3 linked regions of the Lytechinus pictus genome follow. The protein of the gene in region 1 interacts with the protein of each later gene in a pairwise test. Links are inferred from orthologs where the notes say so. Each region holds a gene or a part of one and is shown on either strand. Other genes may lie near its edges. The genes, in order: protein lin-7 homolog C-like, receptor tyrosine-protein kinase erbB-4-like and gamma-adducin-like.

What was found.
Region 2: the proteins of protein lin-7 homolog C-like (region 1) and receptor tyrosine-protein kinase erbB-4-like interact in a two-hybrid assay, tested with the Caenorhabditis elegans proteins (3 studies listed by BioGRID). The link is inferred for Lytechinus pictus from reciprocal best matches to the Caenorhabditis elegans genes lin-7 and let-23.
Region 3: the proteins of protein lin-7 homolog C-like (region 1) and gamma-adducin-like interact in a two-hybrid assay, tested with the Caenorhabditis elegans proteins (3 studies listed by BioGRID). The link is inferred for Lytechinus pictus from reciprocal best matches to the Caenorhabditis elegans genes lin-7 and add-1.

Annotation. Positions count from the first base shown.
Region 1 is NC_087253.1:11,784,760-11,792,134, forward strand, and holds the start of protein lin-7 homolog C-like, read left to right. Parts: upstream 1-4,301; 5' UTR 4,302-4,365; coding exon 4,366-4,399; intron 4,400-6,904; coding exon 6,905-6,946; intron 6,947-7,375.
Region 2 is NC_087245.1:2,233,112-2,240,451, forward strand, and holds the start of receptor tyrosine-protein kinase erbB-4-like, read left to right. Parts: upstream 1-4,299; coding exon 4,300-4,372; intron 4,373-4,695; coding exon 4,696-5,058; intron 5,059-6,241; coding exon 6,242-6,379; intron 6,380-6,693; coding exon 6,694-6,759; intron 6,760-7,180; coding exon 7,181-7,299; intron 7,300-7,340. UniProt on the Caenorhabditis elegans protein: Tyrosine-protein kinase receptor which, upon binding ligand lin-3, activates 2 signaling cascades: the let-60/Ras and MAP kinase signaling pathway and the let-60-independent phospholipase C-mediated Ca(2+) signaling pathway.
Region 3 is NC_087256.1:11,546,634-11,554,432, forward strand, and holds the start of gamma-adducin-like, read left to right. Parts: upstream 1-4,718; coding exon 4,719-4,754; intron 4,755-5,538; coding exon 5,539-5,769; intron 5,770-6,046; coding exon 6,047-6,289; intron 6,290-6,948; coding exon 6,949-7,125; intron 7,126-7,754; coding exon 7,755-7,799. UniProt on the Caenorhabditis elegans protein: Membrane-cytoskeleton-associated protein that promotes the assembly of the spectrin-actin network. Plays a role in time-dependent memmory loss and the retention of conditioned behavior over time.

The sequences.
Region 1 (7,375 bases):
GGTTAAAAAAATCAAAATATATAATAGTAAAAAAATTGTTATGTATAGGAATATAAGAGCAATACACTGTAAAAAAAAAACATTGAATCAGTAGTTAACACTTAATGTATTTAAGTAGAATTTACAATTTGTAATTATTTTTTGTTGTTTTTAAGTAGTTTCAACTTGTCTTTTAATTTACTTGATTTACTTGATTTATTTGGGTTCAATATACATTTAAGAAAATTCACGTATTGATATCTTGCTTTGATTGAGTAAATCTAACTCAATTAGGCAAAGATGATTATTACTTATAAAATCATGTTGAATGTATTTATATTTTCAATTAACGCCATATTTAAATAATGCATGAATATTCATTAGAGCAAGTAAATGTTTTTTTTTTTTAATAACTGTCATTTCTATTTGTGTTTGAAATTGTTTTGGATAAGGGTGTGCTAACTATTGTATTCTTTTGTTGAATCAAAGAAAAGGCAACATTAAATAGTCATTTAGCAGAAAATTATTCTCACTGTTTTATTTGTAAGAATGAAACGATCGCGTATAAATATCAATGTCAGTACCTATACATGTACAGGTAAGTGACAATTCACAAAGTCTAATATTTGGATAAAACATGTATAAAATGAAAATGATGCCACCAAAAGTGGGACGATGGGGGAGCGGACTTTCGAATCACGAAAGTCCATCCACTCCCCCATTTGATATTTTCAAATATTTTAGTGATTGTTTTACTTAATTGAATTAAGTTATTGTAACTTAATTTTCTTGAGTAAAATGGAAGCAAAGAAAATAAGTAAATTTTACTTAAAACTGCCAAAGTCATAAATACTTGAAAAAATTAAGGCAATTTTTTGCCACAATTTTATTAAGTAATTTCTACTAATTTTTTTTTACAGTGTAGTAACTGGCAGCGTTGGTGGTTGTTCACATGGTCGATTATGTGAATATGGGATGCACATTGTTGAAATGATCAAATTTAAGTGTGAAGGGGGCATGGTTTCACAAGTGTTTCACATTGTGGTACGTATTCATTGACTCTTCCCGGTATTGGGCCGGTGGTTTGGCGTCAGAGAAATAACACTTTGTAACTGATAATCTACTCAATGTGCCTGTTTTGAAACATTCTGTTTAAGTTTTATTGAAAATGTTTGATGGAAACGCACTTAAAATAAAAAATAATATTGCTGATTCAGAAAAAATGAATAAAAATAATAATTGCTCTCTGTTGTGATATGATTTGTTTTTATCCTGTTATTGCTGTCGTAATTCCCCGTTTTTAGGGAGGGGTGGTGCCGACTGAAAGAGCAATATCTGGATCTGGATCCGTATCGAGACAAAGTATTTGAGAAAAAAAGTGATACATAAAAGAAGGGAATGGTCTAAAGACGTAGTAGAAAAGCAGGTATACAGACTGCATGATTATGGAACATATAAAATGCGTTTGCATAATAAAAAATAAATAAAAAAGAGGGGAATGGGGTAAATCGGGTCATGAAAACCATATTAAAGGATTATGTGGAAAGGAGGTAATAGATTAAAGGAAAAGGAGGGGGAAAGGGTCATAAATTATGATCCGCTGGTTAGTGATTTTTTTTAACCAAATAAAGGGATGGTCCGGGCTGAAAATATTTATATTTTAATACATAGAGTAGAATTCACTGAGCAAAATGCCGAAAATTTCATCAAAATCGGATAACAAATAATAAAGTTATTGATGGTTAAAGTTTAGCAATATTTTGTGAAAACAGTCGTCATGAATATTCATTAGGTGGGCTGATGATGTAACATCCCAACTTTCCGTTTTCTTATGTTATTACATAATATCATAATTTTTTCATTATTTCATACTTACCTTGTGTGAATGATATGTCTCCCTTATAATGAAATAAGTTGCAGCAATAAATATCTAATGCACTAAATCAGTTGTCAATCCAATTTTTCTAGTTCTTGGAGAAAAAAGTTAATAAACCTAATTTCATATAATAAAATACAAAAGAACAAGTGGGGATGTGACATCATCAGCCCACCTAATGAATATTCATGACGACTGTTTTCACAAAATATTGCTAAACTTTAAAATTCAATAAACTTGTTATCCGATCTTGATAAAATTCTCGGCATTTTGCTCAGTAAATTCTACTCTATTTATTAAGCTATAAATACTTCCAGCCCGGACCATCCCTTTAAATACTTTATAATTCATTTTTTTGTATCTGATTTGATTTGGGAATTACAAAAAGACAGTGAAAAGTCGGAGCAAGATATTGCAAAAGAATAAAAGCTTGATGGGGAATTAAGGAAAAATTCATGGTTTTCTAGAAAGAAAACGTGGCTAAGCTATAAAAGAAATACCCGGAAGAAAACATGTGAAGGGTAGATGAAAGTTCTACAAAAAAATGAATGAATGAAAGAGAGAGAGAGAGAGAGAGAAAGTGAAACAAAAATCACTAAAAATATAATGAAAACGAAAAAGTTCTAAGCAAAAGAGTCACCGCAGAGGGCAGTATTCCAATTTTCATTTCGCATTAAGTTGAATGGAAACACGAAATTACATGGGAATTAAGCGTTTCATGAAAACTTCTTGACTAATAATGGCTAATAAATGGGGGGGGGGGGGGGAGGGGATTAAAATTGTGCCCCCCTCCCTTTGTAAGTGATAACTTTTTTTTGCTTGTCAAATTCATCCTCGGAAAAATGTGCCCCCCCCCCCTTTGGAAAATCCAGGATCCGCCCCTGAAAGGGACCTCCGTCATTTTGCCGTTCTCTATAACTTTGTTCAGTTAGTGCACTATAATAGTGGACCATGCCCCCCCCCCCAAGGGAGAGGGGGTGGGGTAAATGGCAAAGAACAAAATACAGAATCATGAAAAGGGAAACTACATCTGTAACTTGGTTTGACTGCCAAAAAAACGGTGACAATTTATTATGCAATAATTATATAATAGAGAAACTATACTGAAAAGAAAAGCAGTGTATGATAAGGAGGATACCTGAAGAAAATAAAATCGATTTTGTTTTTTTCCATGAAGAAAACAAAACAATCAAATCAGTAGTAATAATGATAATAAAACAGCTAGGGATGCTGTGGGCCATGCAAGTATGCAACTCAACTCACCGTAGGGTTATACTCACATGCTTTTCAATTCCTTTCTTCTTGTTGTTTTCTCTTCTTCAGTTCTAAAATTATAATCAATTAAAAAATAGGCCTATAAGGCCTATTGTCAGCAGTTGCAGCTCGAGGTGCGGCCGCGATCGATGCAGGAGCTACACCCCCAGCCAATGAATTTGCCCCATAATGGGCTCGCCTATATGGTTTCACTTTGACTTTCTCGGGGATAATGATATAGGCATTCATATAGCGCCAATATATATAGTTTTTATTTTTCTACTTCTTTTTCTCTTATTTTGTCTGCAAATATATTCCTTGACCTCGACGCTGTATTTCTTTTTACCTTTTGGCTCCGCGGGGATTATGTTTTACTTTTCTCTCCTGTATAATCAAAGGCCTTTAGATATAGGCCTACCTTTCATCTTTTATTATTTTGTTAATTTCCTCTTTTCATATTTTATCGTACATATTTTCAGGACCTATATCTTTTCTTTTCTTTCTTTACTTTCTTTTCTTTTCATTCTTTTCTTTTCTTTTCTTTTCTTTTCTTTTCTTTTCTTTTCTTTTCTTTTCTTTTCTTTTCTTTTCTTTTCTTTTCTTTTCTTTTCTTTTCTTTTCTTTTCTTTTCTTTTCTTTCTTTCTTTTCTTTTCTTTTCTTTTCTTTTCTTTTCTTTTCTTTCTTTTCTTTTCTTTCCTTTTCTTTTCTTTTCTTTTCTTTTCTTTTCTTTTCTTTTCTTTTCTTTTCTTTTCTTTTCTTTTCTTTTCTTTCTTTTCTTTTCTTTTCTTTTCTTTTCTTTCTTTCTTTTCTTTTCTTTTCTTTCTTTCTTTCTTTCTTTCTTTCTGTCTTTCTTTCTTTCTTTCTTTTCTTTTCTTTTATTTTCGTTTCGTTTCTATTCGTTTCTTTTCTTTCCTTTTCTTTTCATTCATTTTCAAAGTTTCTGTTTTCTGTTATCTTTTCTTCTTCTTTTTCAGTTTTTTAATTGTTGTCTTCTATTAATTTTCGTATACGTTGCTGCGGGCGTTGCTGTCTTTTCTCTTTTCCCGTTTCTTTTATTTTTCTGTTCTCTTCCTTTTCCAACCATTTTTTGTTGTTGTAATTCCACCCTTCCCTTTGCCACATATTTTCTTCTGATTAATCCTTGAAGCACATTGCTCCCAACTTGCTCTTTACTGCCAGATTTGCAGATTTTTTTTCATGCATTCGATGTGTGTGTACAGTACAATGATGACGTCATCCGAGATCAGATGACAAAATGGCTTCTACAGGCGAACTTACACTCGACAGAGGTAAAACACTAACGATTATGTTTTTGCCAATATATCAGAGAATTTATGAATATTTACGTTTATTTACTTATTTCATACATATGCATTATCTAAGGATTGTTATAAAGTGGGATTCAATGTGTGATATTACGAGGAAGTGTGGAAATAAGAGTGTTTTCTGGGAGTTTCTACGCTACGGTCCGGCATTTGCAACCCACTGCACTGGCTGATGTTTACAGGAAGGAGGGGTCGTGCGAACGTTCATATCGGCCCCAACGGGGCGGGGAGGTGGCCGGTAGGTGATGACGAAGAGCTCGCTGAGAGTTTGGCGGAGCTGACTCTCTGACTGTCCGGGGCTAATGCAATTTCGCGCTTACCGATTTCAGGCAAATTTCCCACCAGTATATTGTTTGCAAAATGCAAGTCTCTCATTCACACTTCGAGGTGAATATGCCCACTGCTTTTCCAAATCGGGAACGGCGAATTTACATTTTGGCTCCGATCTCGACGTTATTCAAATTCTTGGGGGGGGGGGGGGCACTTCCATTGAAGAGTGGATACCATGTGCGACCATGGCCATGGGGTCTCAAAAAGCACCCTAAACACGTATTTTCCATATGCTGAAAATGCACCCCTTAACAAGTATTAGCATGTTAAACCCTACCCTTAATAACAAGTATTGGAAACAAAACGATACTCTTGGACTTGGCAAGTATTCCCTGAATTGAACCCCTAAACAAGTACAGCGATATTTTAATTGTTATGCCATGGAGGTCGGTCGTCGGTTTTACCTTAGTTTAAGTTTAACTACATCATTAATTGGGTTTAGTACGGCTTCACCTTCCACACCTCGCGTAAATCGTACTCTAAACACGTAGTGTTGATTGTTGGGGCAAAAAGTACATCCTTTATAAAAAACATTTTAGTCCCAATTTTCTATACCCTCCCAAATTTGACCCTAAATACGTAGCTCTTCTAGCGAAAATAGATACCCTTTTTTCATTATTTTAGTGTTTTTGACACCCTTATTACTAAGTTACATACGTAACGTGCCCTATCTTGAAAAAGACACCCTTTTTACGTGTTTTTTTGGTCGCGCATGGTATCCACTCGTCAATGTAAGTGCCCCCCCCCCCCCCGGGTTCTCGGGTCAGACATAGGCCTTGCCCTTACTTAGCAACCAAAAGATATGCCTGCGGCAGCTCACATGTTTGTTCGCATGATTTTGGTTGCTAACTTCAAATTGGAGCAGTTACTTAGAATAGATCGTCGAGAACGGGGCCAGATTAAACGTTCCCGATCACGATATTTGGAAAAACGGTGGGCATTGGCCTTGAGGACTTTGTGATTATATTTTTTAATATTTTGACATATACTTATTCATCATGAAGCCTTGAAACAGGCGAAGCGAGACATCAAAGCATTGATTGATTTCCATAGGATATTAGGAAATCCATCTTTAAACCTACAAATCACATAAATTTGTATACACCTTCATATGCCTAATGCGTATGAAGGTGCAAAAAAACTATTAGTATAAATATGAAAAATCAGAGGTTTCTTACCAGACCGATTTCGTTTAGATCCCTCATTCCATTCGTAAACACCGCAATACATAAGGCTTGGCCCTTGAACCGCTTCGTTATAACGTAGCCTCGATAAGCAATGGTACAAAATACCGTCTTGAAGAACAATTTATTGATAAAAATTATCATTTAACAAATGATAAAATTTGAAACTTGATTATAAATAATTATTATTACAACCAAGAACAATGAAGAGGAGAAAAGAGAGATAAAGACCCTAAAAGTAAGATTGTAATGAAAAAGTGAAGTTTTATCATGAAACTTTTGCCACAAGCGCCATGCGGTGCCCCTTGATTTCTTTTTACTCGTCACGCTAATCCCACATAGAGCTACGCGCCAATGCTCGCATATTTTATTACCATCATGAAAAATCCTGTTGACACCATGATATGTCCAGGAAATTTTTTGCTCCTGTCACCCCCCCCCCCCCCCCCCCCTGTTACACCCTTGACTTTCTGATTCTGCTCGCTAGATCTGCCAATGGAACTGTTGTTGTGTTAGCTGGGGCCTGGGCCGGGCTGTGAGCTTGGAATGATAAAGAGTCTATAGATTATAGAATATGCTTTTTATTTGTTGGGCATGACTGGTAGGAAAGCTCAGTGCCCGGAATAGATTTTTACTTCTCGATAAAAACAAACAGGAATAATAATTGTTTTGAAGACTGACTGGGTTTTTTTTTTTTTTTTTTAATCAAAGGAAGGCTGGTAATTATTATCACCATGCTTTTTATAATTGTGATGGTACTGTCTCCCCCTTCTTTGTTTTAAAATAAATGATCAATCTTGACCTCTAGATCTATCTTGTCTTTCATGCTTTTGAAATAATATATTTTGTGGGATTTCTGTACTTTTTACAAATGAGTAAAGTGTGAGATTGTACTTAGTTAATGTGGGATTCCTGTCAAAGTCATGTCATCACGTCTCTGTTTATTTTCCATCAGATGTCAGCCGTGCAATACAGTTACTTCAAAATCTACAGCAACGTAAGTTTATCATATAATTTGCAAGTACATGTACCACAAAAATTACAGATACATACTGAGCACTTTCCAAAACCTCTATCCAGATCCTAAAGTCAAAGGCTACATGTATGTTTGCCCTGATGGTGAGATGGTTCAAAGCAGAAAAAAATATAGAAAAATATTGGTGAAGGTTTATGTATCAGTCAAAGAATAATAACAGTATTCCAAGTTTTCAAAATAAAATCATATATCTGTGAAATTCTTCATATTTTGATATTTGTGAAACTGGAATTTAGCACTATAATGCAGTAATGTAAAAACTAGATCTTTGAATAAAAAAATAGAAAAAGAGATTATTTTAGCAATTAAACCCAGCAGTGGAACAATATAATGTATTGAGAGATTACTGTACTGTTGGCAGGGTAGATGAACAAAATATATCCAGAATTT
Region 2 (7,340 bases), on another chromosome or scaffold:
CATGTATCCATCCTCACAACTCTATCTTTGTCACCTCTTAATGAATATGTGTGATTAATGCTCGCTGGACACGTCCCCCAAACAAAATCATAAACAATGGGCCGTGATGATACCCAGCCTGAATATCTAGATAATACTGGGGAAACTGCTGGAATATTATGACATTTCAGATCTTAAAGTGACCGTAGACTTAGTACGCTGGTAGAAAATTATGCTTTACAGTGACACAAATACAATAAATGTTTGTTAAATCATGTTGTCTTTGATAAAATACTAATGATGTTTTTGGGAAGTATTTAGAGATTGAGAATAATAGAATCATCCTCTTCTTTTTGGTAAGGTAGGAAAATTTGTATGTACATGTAGAGCATTGGAAGGGTCCATTCGAGATTTGGCAACATCATTCAGTGTGTTCACTGTCATGTCGTATGACTAAGTTTTAAAAAAATCAAATGAACTTTGGTGTACGAGTGTCAGCTCTGCCAAAGAGCCTAAAATCTTTTAAACTTACGCTTTGAAGACCCTTATATAGACATAGCAATAAGTGTTGACAATGACAATCACCAGAATTCTATAGTTCTATGAGATGTTATATTCTACTAGGAGAAGCTTAGAAGGAAACACACTGAACAGTATACTCTGAGTAGAAATCCTTGATGGAATTGCGATAGATACTCTATAGCAGCTCGTGGCTGTATACCTCCAAAAATAAAGTGATACCGAACACCCAAGATGTGTAAATAATACACCCATCTAAGGTACCACCAGCCCCAAGCCATTCTCACCCCCCTTGTCATACCCCCTTCATCTTGCCTTCAGCTATGGCTTTAGCTTTCACTTATGCACCAGTGATGGTTTGATTTGAAAATAATTCATCTTTTCTTGTGGTTGGCCCACTGTATTCATTTAGGGTATCGTGTGTTGTAATCAAACAGTGACACATTCGTAGAAAGTACACGGCTTTCATTATTACCAGCGCATTAAATCCCGGTAAGCAGTGAAATTTATTTTCTTGCCCCCATTTCATTCCTAGAAATATTTGACTCTCAATTTTTAAAGTGTGAGTAATGATATTGAGTCCTTGGGATGTGGAATAGATGCCCTTTTCTTTGTAAATAATACTTTGTCTTTTTATTAAAATGTCACATTTGAAACGAAGGTCTTGTACCCAAGTGCGTTTCAAATTGTAAAAGTAAATTTGAGCTAGGAAAACGAGGAAAAAAACTTCATCAGCAAAGCTGTTGTGGTGTAGGCCTGTATGCTGACAAAAACCTTCAATACACATAACGTAGAAGTACTATGATGACTTTTTGATACAACACAACATCGACCTCTGTGGAATTTAGGTCAGCATGAGGTCGTGTGGGGTCATTGACCAACTTTCCTTCATGGGGGGGGGGGGGGGAGTGATTGACATCTGATCTCGTCATATATGATAAGCGGGGTTCATTAAGAAAGTGATCATTAGTGAGATCATTTGTCAAATCTAAGGCCATTTATTCTTCTGGGAAATTTGTTCATCTTCTATTGCTCCATTCCTGAGATGTTGAATAACTACCAGTCTCTATCTCAGAAATCATTTGATTACTTGTTGATAAGCAGAGACATCAGAAAATTCATAAATTATCCTTCCTGATATTCGTTTGATGGGAAGACTGCAAGGTTCTGAAAAGGCATGACAGGCCAAAATTCTATTCAGTAATGGAAGTATTTTGCGCGATATATTTCAATTTTGGCTCATTCTGAAGTTATTTAGTCATATGTGGTCAGTAGATTTTTCATTGCTTGTTATTTAAATAGAAATATCACTAAGGTTTATTGCATACTGACTTAGAAGAACTTTCAAAGCATCTTCTTCTGGTCATATATATAAAATTCGAGAGGTCTTCTGAATGTACATATATTAAAAGATGAGTGAGAAGGTTATAGTGAGAATGAGAGATGCATTAAATTGTTACATGTACACAAAACAGCTAAAACAGCACCATAAGTAGATGAAAGTATACAAAACAGAAACTCTACAGTGATATTTTACCCAGTATTTGTAAAAATTCATGCCTCCTCAATGTCTCCTTGATGTCTCAATGTTCCCAAACAGAGAATTTCAACATACCTTCTTGACCCCTTGTCTTTCAAGACCCTAGATATCAAGTAACAACTTGAATGTCAGATACTTTACTCTTCTGTGTATGACCCAAGAAGTTTTTAATGGATGACTCAACTTTAGGTTGCCATGGTACTACAGCTATGTTACAAGAGGGCCAAGTATTTAGTGAGGTTTTGTTACATTCTTGTCTGACCTGCTATGACCTTTGACCTTGGGGTTGTTGATGATATGTTGATAATTAGAACTTGATACTGGGAGTTGTCCCATCCTATTTGGGTTTTATTTGCAAGTGTTTTTGCAGTGTCTTCTGTTAATTTGATGTGATTCATGTTACTTCTTGTAGTGGCTATTGCACATTCTGTTTCAACAAACTAGACCGATACCTGATGCCTGTAATGTAAGCCCTATATGAATTGTACCCCTCTCTTCCCCCCAACAATATGGGTCCTTGACAAGTCGTATTCTGGCAGGAAAACTTACGAATTGCAATGTTTTTACATTGCATCTCTATAATGTAAAACCATGTAGGTCCATATTGGTTTCAGCCTACATCTCATATGTTAAAACATATTCACACAGTGATGAAGTAAAATAAGTAAAGTATAAAGCTTACATCAATTAAAAATAATGGACACATGGAAGTAAGGAAAATAAAGATAATGTGGAAATTAAATTCAAGTTACCCAATTAAATTTGAAAAGAGGTGCTTCAATCGCAGTTTAATAAGCAAAGATTTTGTAGTGACTTTGTAAAACTATTATGGATATGTAGGAACCTAGAACACCTTTGTATGGAAGAATGCAGTCAGATATTATTGAGAGCCTTCTTGGGTGATGGATTTGTGAATATAATTCTGTTTTTAGACATTCAACCCCTTGTTTAGACTTTGTTTTACCAATTTCAAGATCAATTGATGGTGGCATCCCCAGGTTAACATTACAACAGAAGAGATGAAATCATATTTTCTCTTTTCTAGCCCAATTTAGTGTTGTAAATCTTTTGAGGTAAAACACCTGTAAGAAATGCCAGATCGTACAAGTTCAGAGGTTAGGCTCGATAGCTGTAGGGGTAAAGGGGCATGTCCCCCTCTCCCATTTTACTCCAACCATCCACTATCTTTCAATATGAGCTGTCATGCAGTGAGTGACACACTTAACTGTTTCTTTTCATGTTTGCGTTAAAAAAATATGACACCATTTAAAATGTATCCATCTTATTTTCACAGTTTGTTCCTTTATATCAAAAGTTTGATAGGTTTGCAAACACTTTTGTCTCAACATGAATGATGTTTGTAGTAATACAGATTTACAGAAATATACACCAAAATCGTGACTGACCCCCCCCCCTCCCTTTCACCCACCACCAAAATGCATCAATTTTTCATTTGTTTAAATGATGGTTTGATTTTTAAATGTTCATCCCAAATCAAAGTACACCTGGACATGCCCTCTTTGACATAGCTGGTTTTGACCCATATCAGGCAATCATAGTGTAAAGCAACCCCAATATCAAAGTCAGGTATCAAGGGATTGCCACTTTGACGTAATACCAAATAAATGACCCACTTTTCACAGATCCTAAGCTAATCTCACTGAAAATGATATGAGTATTATATTTTGAAGGCTATAATTATATGGATGCAAAATCAGTATCAATTGGTACTGGCTTTTATGTTTTGTAATTACAGGTTTTTTTTTGTAACCACATTGGCATTTTCACAAGGTTATGATTACTAGTATTCACACTTTAATTTTTAGCATACAAAGATATATGAAAGGCAGGAACAATTTCTGACCAAATAGTTTCTTCATAAAAAACAGGCAATTTTTTTTATAATAGCTGAAACATTTATAGATTTTAACTCAGATAATGTCAAATTATGGAAAATTACTTCACTTTGTTTGCAGCATGTGCCCTTTCACTTTAGATTATACGATTTAATAGAAATATGAATCAATTATAGTGTAATGAATAGGAAACATAAATTTTGTAATTCTAATACCTGGAAGACAGAGTTTACTAGTATTACTTTACCTGTGATTAGGTTTATGTTTTACCTGTGAAAACTGGTTTCTGGCAGGTACTTGTCTCTGGTGTGTTTTCTGAGTATCTAAACACAGGTTTCAATCAAAATATGAAACACATCAAAGATAGAATGATGTGATATTTTGATACCAGTATTCCCAATTGGTATGGATTGGAATGTAGTAGAACAAGCTCAATGGAACAAGCTCAGCAGAGACTCACACAGCAGTTTGTGCCTGGGTGAGTGGAGGGGAGGAGGGAGGTGGGGGGGGGGGGTGGGGTGGAGAGGAGGAGGGAGGGAGGGGGGTGCAGAGGGAAATAGTGTGCATTATGATCAATATAGCTCAGGCAAGTGTGGTTATAATGATCAATGCTAAAGATATGCTGTTTTAGGGGTTTAAGTTGTATTATTTTCCGAATACAATAAAAAATAATTTCTGTATGCTCTATTCTCATTCACAGTGCCTACATTTAGTTGTGACCTTCCCCTTAATCCATGCTATAGAATTGAAATTTGTCATACCAGTATTTAATTTGTTTCTTTTGTTTTTATCTTCTTACAGTATGTACTGGCACAGATCAAGGTACCGCTAAACCATACAACAGCGATACTGCCGGAGCAAGGCAACAGTACTATGAAGATTTAAAGGAAAGATATACAAACTGTACATACGTTGACGGAAACCTGGAAATATCCTTTCTCCATGAGCAAGAATATGATCTTAGCTTTCTCTCATCGATACGGGAAGTCACAGGATATATTCTCATTCTCTTGACGTATTCCCGGGTGATACCGCTCACAAACTTACGGGTTATCAGAGGAACAAAGCTTTACGACGACAAGTACGCCCTCTATGTTGCATTGACGTTTCATACAGGAGATCCAGAAATAGCTACAGAAGAGATTTGGTTAACATCATTACATGGTAAGTCTATTGATAGCTATGTACCTAGTTATTATTTGTTGTCATACTTTGTTCATGTATTATTTTTGGGGTTTTGGTTTTTATTTAAAGTTAAAAACTTAAAAGATAAATATTCTATTAATGATGGGAATGTTTCCTGGATCCACATCGGCTCCTGAATAGCAGAAGTGAATAATATGAAAAATCAGCCAAGTTGAATGAAACAATTTCCAGAGATTCTGAAATAGCCTTGGGTAAAAGAAATAGACAATGAGTGTTGAATTGGTTATTGGTCTAATCTCACTCTGTCTAATTCTATGCTATCAATAAGAAGTCTTGATATCTAGCTGCTCCTTGGCCCATGCACCATTTTGGTATATATTTGAAATATTTCCATTGGTCTAAAACCTCTTTGTCTCTATGGTTTTATGAGCTAGAAGACCACAGGAGAAACACCAAATAGGTTTTTGACAATGGGGTAGTTCATTCAAACAGGTAGTGACCAGTATTTCATAAAAGGTGTTTAACACAAAAAAGCATAATGGGGTTTAAACATCCTCCTTGGTTCTTTAAGCACACTAAAATATTGGGAATATTCAAATGATGCCTATGTGTACATTTAGGGAGAATAAAATTGGATCAGATTCAGCATTTCAGCATGGGGCATCCTTAAAAACAAAGGCGAGGTAATATCTATGGTACACTTAAATTCTCAGCTGTGATATCAGATCAATGATTTTTGCTACGCTGATGTTTTTGACATGATCTGAACTGTCACATACTTCTTCCATAAATCCCAATCAAACGCTCGTATCGATGAATGATGATTAAACCAGGCGCGGATCCAGGGGGCACGTGCCCCCTTCCTTTTGAGAAGCAAAATTAAAAATTTGTAATGTAAAAATGCCATGAAAACAGAGGTGTGGCCCCTCTTTTGAAATTGAACACCTTTTTTTTTGGCTTGTCAAATTTTTTCGGGTACGAAATATCCTTAATTTGTTGTTGAAAACCTTTTTTTTTTTGGGGGGGGGGGGGCTTGTCAAAATTTTCCTCCGAAAAATTCCCCCCCCCCCTTTGGAAAATCCTGGATCCTCCCCTGATTAAACATACTGATTTTAAGATTAAAAAAGGAATTCAATCATATTAATCATGGTTTCATTCAATTTTTAAACTAGTATTGCTAAAATTGTGTTTTTTCTTGCAGAAATCTTGAAAGGAGATGTATACTTTCATCAGAATAATCAACTGTGCTATGTACAGACCATTGCCTGGGATGACATGCAACCTGGTTTGGTAGCCAACTTCTCAGTATGGGATGAACATCCACAACGTAACTGCTTAGGTGAGGACTATTTCATGTGCTTACAGCAAGAAAGGCATTAGCTACTTAGAAAGATAAACTTATTTTGCTCTTTAAATCTGTTAGTTGAGAAAATTTTTAAATAATGATACATAGGGACGTTGTCTCTGAGTATTTTAAAGATTACTAATGCAGTCATTGTATTCTATATGGTATACATATCCATAATTTTTATTTATGGAATGCAAGTACTTCTTTTATACACAATTTGATATGTGCAAGGTCAGTGCCACTTCCTCTTGTTAAAGTAATTTATAATTATTAATGTTTATCTTTGTTCATCTTCTTTTACACAGAACACCAATGTCATGAATCATGCAAGGGTCGATGCTGGGGTCCAGGAGAGGACCATTGTCAGATATGTGAGTAGACAATGTAATACATCATCATTCTCCTCAGTTATTTATTCATAATATGAAGATATTAAGCTCTATACATTTTGGTCCATTGAAATAGATAATATTTGAAATATTTCTAGAAGAATAAAGGGAAGCTGTTTCAATTGATTTTGCATTATTATTTTCTCCAAATCACTCAAAACTTTATTATCAGTCAATAACTTTGATCTATGGTTTGTATGTTTGAAAAGATAAAGCATGACATTTTTTTGCAGGAAGGTAAATTCTCGTCTTGTCACAAATGCTGAATGAAAGGCATTCTGTCATCTAACCTATAATACTGGAAATTTCTTTTTGTGAGTAAATGTCTAAATTTGTCCATGGATTTTACTTTTCATGTCTTGGTACACATAAATATTAAGTCTTTCCCTTTTCCTCTCTATAGTAACGCTAAAAGATTGCAGCTCAACATGCGACTACCGTTGTCGAGGTCCTACTCAGGCGGACTGCTGCCACAGAAGTTGCGCTGGGGGTTGCACCAATTCTTCTAATGCTGGATGTCTGGTGAGTTTGAACCCTGACCTTCTTGCGGGTGCCATTTACCA
Region 3 (7,799 bases), on another chromosome or scaffold:
AGCAGTCAATAATCAGCCTTTTTAGTAATAAATGCAATTGTACTAATGTGCAAACCTAACATCCTGTATAGATATGGAGGAATTGATTAGATAATTCCTCTTGGTGTTAAAGACCCATTTCACTTTTAATTTCACCTGTGTACTTATGACTCATTACTCAATATTACCAGCCGGCCTATGTCGTCTAGGTCTGTCAATCACACATTTTCATCACATTTGAAGACTCTTGGTTGATCATTCTTTATTAGCAACATGATCGTTACGTGCTTCTGATTGCCTGCAAAATGGCACATTTTTCCCACAAATAGTCGTTACTTTGCATTCATTCGCTGCACAAGGCCTCCTCAATACTCCATGGTCGGCTAACCAACATGAACTGGCTAGGATTACCGGAATCGGAAATGATGTGTCCCAAGCCATCATTTTGATCAGTGCTAGCATTAAGAGAAAGCCTTTGCAGGAATTGAAAATAAGATATGAATATGTTTCACTGCTCTATGGACACTGTCATGGCAAAGTACTTTGAAAGATGAAGAAATAAGAGACAAAGATGTGCAACATCCATGAATTCATCATTTCTCTTAACCTGGCCATGTTACTAGTATTTCCTATACATGAACCATAGAGCTATTGCATGAACCTTGATTGCGCTCATCATCATGTATGCTTTATTTTTTTACTCAAAATAGGGATTACTTTTGCAATCAGTTATTAAAAAAACTCACACATATTCAGTTTCTTTTCTTCAGAGAATCTGTTTATAATACTTTTGTGAATATAGAATGAAATGTAAAGAAATATAGTGTAATAGACTGTCTATTAATTACTCAAGAGTTTAGACCCCACACACGCAGCGCTATAAAAGACATGATAAGAATAATAATTATAATATCAGCAGATAAGTTAGGCATACTTCGCTTTATTTAATACAAATGTTTCTAAGTGCCGCTTGTGATACATAAACTTTCATGATCCAACCTGTAAGCCAATATAGGCTTGTTACCTTGCCATTTGCAGATATTACACTTTCGCAGTCAACAGCATAACATGAGTCCTTGGAAGTCGCCCGCATTAATCCAACATATTGGGTTGTCTGCATGCATGTGCGTGTATGTACCGAGCAATTTTGGAAAAGATGGCTCAACTGAGATCAATCAATGGGGAAAATGTAGATTGGAATCTGGAAGCCCCATTAACACAAAGATTCGCAATCAATTGCTTTGTGGTAATGGCCAATCACGATCATTGTTGCTTGCACATTTTGTTGATAACACTGACTAGGAACCAATCAGTTGGGTGTTTCATAAAAATGTCTGTAAGTTACAAATGATATTACATACAATTGGTGACTCTTTTTTGTTCTTAATGACATAGGCCTATTTTACTGACTTGGCTCCTAGGAACGTGTTCCAGTCATATGTAATTTAATTAACAGCTTTATGAAACACCCACCAGGGGCCTATCTTACAAAGAGTTGGGATTAATCTGATCATGGACCTATAAGAAATAGACGATTAACGCGAGCATTCTTTTGATGCAATCATAGTCGCCGTCTCCTGACTATGTGCATATTAATGATACCATACAGGTGCTTTGACAATGGCGACTACCAAGGCGAATCTGATCTTCACAAAGGAATGTTTTGCTCTTTTTGCCGTTTGTTGGCTGATGTCTTGTAGCAGATTATACCTTTCAATTAAGATGTTTCAGATTTGGAACAGCAAATTGAGAAGCAGACGATTTTTGTGATATCAAATTTATTATTATCGATTTGCACGCTTCTGCACACTCATAGTGACTTTTCTAACAACGAGAGGGGGACGACCCCTACAAGAAACCCACCATGTTTCTTTGGAATATTATGAGGAAATCTTTAAAATGTGATTATAAATTACAATCAATCAATTTCATTTCAGCCTCTATCTTGAAATATTCATACATTTTTCCAAATAAAAACCATGGAACTAAGATAACCATTTGTAAACCAGAACTGCACATTAATTTCCGAGAATTCAGGCAATTTATTACCTTCTGCGCATACAATTTGTCTAATGTTAAATGTCTAATCACCGAAAGCTTCTGTAACTCATGGTTTAATTGACGGCGACCATGATGGTATCACAGGAGATAAATATGAAGAGAATGTTATTCACATGACAATGACAGTCAGATGTTAGTGAATTCATTAACTAACCGATGAATGTCCAGCTTTCATAGGTCCATGATCTGATCAATCGCGACTATGGAAGGCCAGCAACATCATCATCTGAAATACATGTTTGTTCAAAATACTTTCTAGAAATGACTTATATTTATACATTCACAGTTTTCTTGAAAAATCAGTATGCTTCTCTTTGTTTTCAAAGGACATTGATCAAATTTCAAAAAAAAAATATATGACATGAATGGATTTCCATATACTTGAGATTGATTGGATCAATCGTAACTCTTTGTAAGATGGGGCCCAGGAGTGTTATTTCATATTGCAATCCATTGTGGATCGTTAATTCACACATAAACTCTGCTGTGAGATGCAGCAATTCATTTGAACACTGCAATATTTTGTTTATGTAGGCCTACATGAATTTTGTGTACTGATGTCTGATGAGCTCAATGATGATATATATTTAGACCTGCTATATCTCTTTATACATTATACATCTCTCACTGGACCTTGATGGAAATGGCATTGGGCAAATATTGACTATGTTCTTCGTCCTTCCTCGCTTAGTGTGCATTATGCATGTATCAGGGTTCACATGGGCATACTAAATGAATGAGTCAGACTCGCAGTCTCAGAGCTCATTCACACTGGAGTTTTCATTTGAAATGATGCTAGCCTTAAGTCTTTACATTGATATACAGTAGCACTAGCTCATTAACACCAAGAGTTATCATTTGAAAAGATTAAACCTTGCAATGCTACATTTTTACTGTATAACAGCTCATTCACACAAGGAGTTTTCATTTAAAATGATGCTTAAACTCCTTCCATCAATATTCAACATTTTATCTTTTGTCTGAAGAGGTCTGAGCTGGATTGGACCTCTTCTTGCTCAGATGTTTGGTAGGGATAGAGGAGACATGATGATGGAAGATAGTTGGGATGTCTCTGAGCAAAGACAAGGATATATTGAAGTAGAGATTACCGAGTGGAAGGATGATGCGGATATATACAGCTGATCCCTTTCTGTTTATGTGACTTGAGATATTTCTCAAGACCTTTGATGCTATATTTGCTTAAAATATGGAATGAAAATGTTAAAATGTTATTGATAACAAGCAGTGTGGGAGTTGGAGTTAAGGGCAGTGTAGAGCATACTACTTCAGTGTCTCAGAGAAATCAGATCTTTATATTAGTACTCTAGCTTATTTTAAACTTCATTTAAAAAAAAGAATGTTTGGAAGAGACTTCATCCATGAGCTGCTGTTGTAATTCTGAAGCCTGTCACATCAAAGAAACTGGCTCCAGACTGTAGTATGACTGCAGAATCAGTTTAATGGTACAGTCGCGCAAGCAACAATATCAGACTAGTCAATCTATTCCCATTGACATACCACTAGTGGGTTTGGAGTCGGTTTTGATGGTATGAATTTAGAATTATGGACCCCCCCCCCCTGGAAGAAAAGGATCCTTGAATCGGGGGGGGGGGGGCATTTGTGCAGCAAGTTTTATAGCTTTCCTTGATTTTGATTGGCCTAGAAGCACTGTTACTATGGAAACTGGTGGATAAAACGGGACTTGTGAATAAATAAAAACGTCCAGCATGTCCATTCATGGAAACGCTTTTTTTTTCAGGGCACTTGTTTATGCGGTCAGCCTTTGATTTTGTCGTTGGGTAACTTTTTCAAAAGTTGTACTCTAGTAAGAATGTAAATGATGTCACCTTCGTGAGGATGATTCATGTCGTGAAATAATGACTAGATGTCTACCTAACTGAGTCATATGGTAAGAATAAGACTAAATGAATTACAGAGACATTGATACCCTCGCCAAGTGAATGACTGGGTAGGTTGCAGTGATACCCAAGGCAGAAGATACTGTCTGGGAGGAGCATGGTGTGATGATGAAACGCTATGCCTGCACGGAAGAAGTTTAGCGGAAGTCTTGGATAGACGGAGGGATGGATTACTGCAAGGGAACATGTAGTGTTGTGATCGTGATGAGCAGGAGAATGTATTGGTAGTCCGTCATCAGATATCTTGCTTTAAGGTTAAGATCCTTATGCTTTTAGGTTGTTGCTCTTTAGAAAATAAAACTGAAGAAAACATTCATTGCATAGAAAATAATATTATAGGCCTACCTAATAAAGTTGTTTTATTATCTTCATACATGGGGAGAAAGACTGTCGCATTATTTCAGATTGAGACAAACACTGTGGCTAGATTAATGACTGTGGATTGATATGATCGTGAATGTCATCTTCTGAGTACTGAGTAATAATTTCAAGACAAGAAAAATTGTTGTCTTCTTGTACATCTATTGATAGTCTCTCTTTTCTTGATCTCTTTATGAATCTTGATCTTTTTTTCTTTGTGTATTATTATCAAGAATAATTAGTGATTCTATTGAAATGATTAAGCAATATAAAAGCAAGATGGAAACATTGTGAAAACTTCTATACATTGTTTTCTTTGAAATAAAATTAATTTTGATTATGCTTTTGAAATAAGCAATCCCTCTTTCGGTATTTAAAGTGGATAACTACTTGCTGTGTATGGCTATTGATGTTTGCCTGAAACTAGAGGAACCTGTAACACAAAGCTTAGAAATGATCACAAAATAAATTTTGACGGTAAATTGATAGACTACAATGTACAATCAAGCGTACAATCAATCGCTTAGCTTTGTGTTATGTGACCCAGTTGCATCTTCATGAAACATTACCTTCTGTGTTATTTAGCTTTGACAGGTGTTAATGTTATAAAGCGCTTGCTCACTAATGATATTAATCTGTTATTAATTATATCTTTTCTTTATTCTACTCCGTCATTCTCTCCCTTGAGTGCCTTCTACTCTTGTGTATAATAGACCCTTAACGTTATCACTACGTCTTCTCTTCTTCAAAATTCTCCTTGTATCTTCTATTTCATCTCCCCCCCCTCATTCTCTTTTGACCTCATTAAAAAAATAATAATTGTCTCTATGATCTAATTCCCTCTCCTAGTTCCTCTTGCTGCCTTCACTGTAACATTGGCCTTTCTGTTTCCCATTCGTCTCGCTTCTTTTCGTTTTGTTTTATTTGTCATCTTTGGAATTGTTGTGGGTCAGTGGATAAATAAGTCTCTGGATTTCGAAACACAAGATCTGGGTTTTAAATCTATTTGCATCATCTGTGTCCCTCGGCTAGGCATTTATTTTGCCACTCTCCACCCAGGTGTAGTAAATGGATGTAATAAAGAGCTCATTGAATTATTGAGTGCCTGTTCACAGTAGCCATGTTGGGATAGTAATATGCAGCACTGAGCAACATTGTATTTAACACTATATAAAATGTCTCATAGTATTACTGTATTTCTTAATCTCTACTTCTGTAGGCTCGTGTGAGCAAGGAGCAAGACCATTTCCTGATCAACCCCTTCGGCCTCCTTTACCATGAGGTCACTGCATCATCCCTCATCAAGATCGACTCCGTGGGCAACATCATCGACCATGGCACGACGACCTATGGCCCCAACCTGGCCGGCTTCACACTTCACTCTGCTATCCACAATGCCAGACCAGACGTCAAATGCATCCTTCATGCCCATACACCAGTTGTTGCTGCTGTAAGTATAGTAGCCGTCATCTCCAAGTCACACAAAGAAGTCGAGACGTGACATTTTCGATCAAAAATACCTACCCTCTCCACTTATTAAAGGAGAGTGTATGAGAGAATACATACCTTTTACATTGCTTTGTTTAATTTTCCCCTTGTGAAGAGGCTTGTGGATCAGATACAGTAGTCCACTTTGCACAATTCAGTACATCCTTCAACCTCAACCCAACTATCTTACTCTGATTAATACGTCAAAGTAACCATGTTCTTCCATGTCTCATCCTTAGGTATCTGCCATGGAGTGTGGCCTCCTGCCGATCTGCCAGGAAGCACTCATCCTTGGTGAGGTTTCGTACTATGACTACAAGGGCATCGTCATTGATGATGAACAGAAGGACAGCATCATCAGGGCGCTAGGTCCCAAGAAGAGGGTGTTGTTCTTACGTAATCATGGTGTTGTATGCTGCGGACAGACCATTGAGGAGGCGTACTATCTTACAGTCAATGTCATGGCAGCATGTAATACACAGGTTAGTACAAAGCGTCATTGGTTATTTGTTCTTTCTTTAAGAAGATTTCCCTCTATTCTAAGGTCTGTTATTAAGTATCCTGCTCAAATTCATCCAATACCTGGGGTGTGTTTCGTGAAAAGTTTTATTCAGTGTTTTTCACTGTCTTCTTTGCCCTCAGCCAATCAGATGCAATAATTTACAGTAGCTTATAACAATAGATGGTGAAAATTACTGACTATTCATTTCATGAAGTGCTCCCCAGATTATTGAATTGAGCATTTGATCACCACCATTCGTGACAATGTGAGGTTCAGTGTTTCAGTTTTTGTAATGAATTAGGTATAGAACGTTCCCAAAAGAAGACATGTTGGAGGACAATCAATTAAAACTTGTGCATCAATCTTGTTTTTATTGTTATTGTCAAAGCCTCCACTAGGACATCATCTGAGAATTCTCTACACACAAGTAAAAGTAATACACCTCTTTATCTTTTGATATCAATTGGACTGAGGTAAACAAAAAAATGTTTCAGAGATTGATTGCAAAAATAATGGCTCCAACATCTTGACTTCTAAATGTATTTTTAGCTTTCGAAAATGATATGAACAGTTTGAGGGAACATTTTTTATAGGAATTGATAAAGCTCATGTGAACTTTTCTTCACTTTTTCCCCTCAGGTTCAAGCGATGTCTGCAGGTATAGACCAACTGATCAAGGTGTCCGCAGAGATTGCAGAGAAGACCAGAGAGGTCGCTTCCCAGGGAGGTGGAGGTGTACAAGGCGATGATCAGATCAAGAAGTGGCGCTGGGGAGAGCTGGAGTTTGAAGCCATGATGAGGCAATTGGATAACATGGTAGGATGAAGGCATATATTTAGGCGCAATGGGCCCTGCAACATAAGTCTTAGCGATTGATCGTGTCATTAATATGCTCGATTGATAGTATGCAATGAGCAATAGAAGCAGTTGTCAAAATCAGCCCTATGACCAAAGCTAAGCTCTGTTACAGGACCCTTGACAGATATTTAACTAAATCAACGTGACTGTCCGACTGTCCAAGTTCAAAGCCTGGAATACCTCATGGAAACTGACAGAAGTCAGGGCTGGGAGGGGTGTCTCGATGAACGCAGTCATGTGGTTTCTAATGTGAGCCAAACAGCATCAAGTAGAGTCATAGAGATGTCTCTTGCCTCCAGAAGGTTTTTTGTGACATCTTTAACACTTTTTAGGGACTGGAAAAAGACTGTGAAAAATGAAACATGCTTAAATTTTCTGCTACTCATTGAAGACTGTAATTTGCAGGAACTGTCACTGCAATTAGCAAAATTTGAAGTCATATGTTATTCCTGAACTAGTTTCAAGTCTGACGACGTTCCCATTCTTACACTAAGCTCAATCAACTCGAGGCATAATCTTGTGACACAATCATTGTTATACAGTTTTGTTTAAATTCCCTAACCATGTACCTTCCTTTCTTTCCCTAGGGTCACAGAACCGGTTACATCTACCATGCCCCTCTGGTGCGGTCC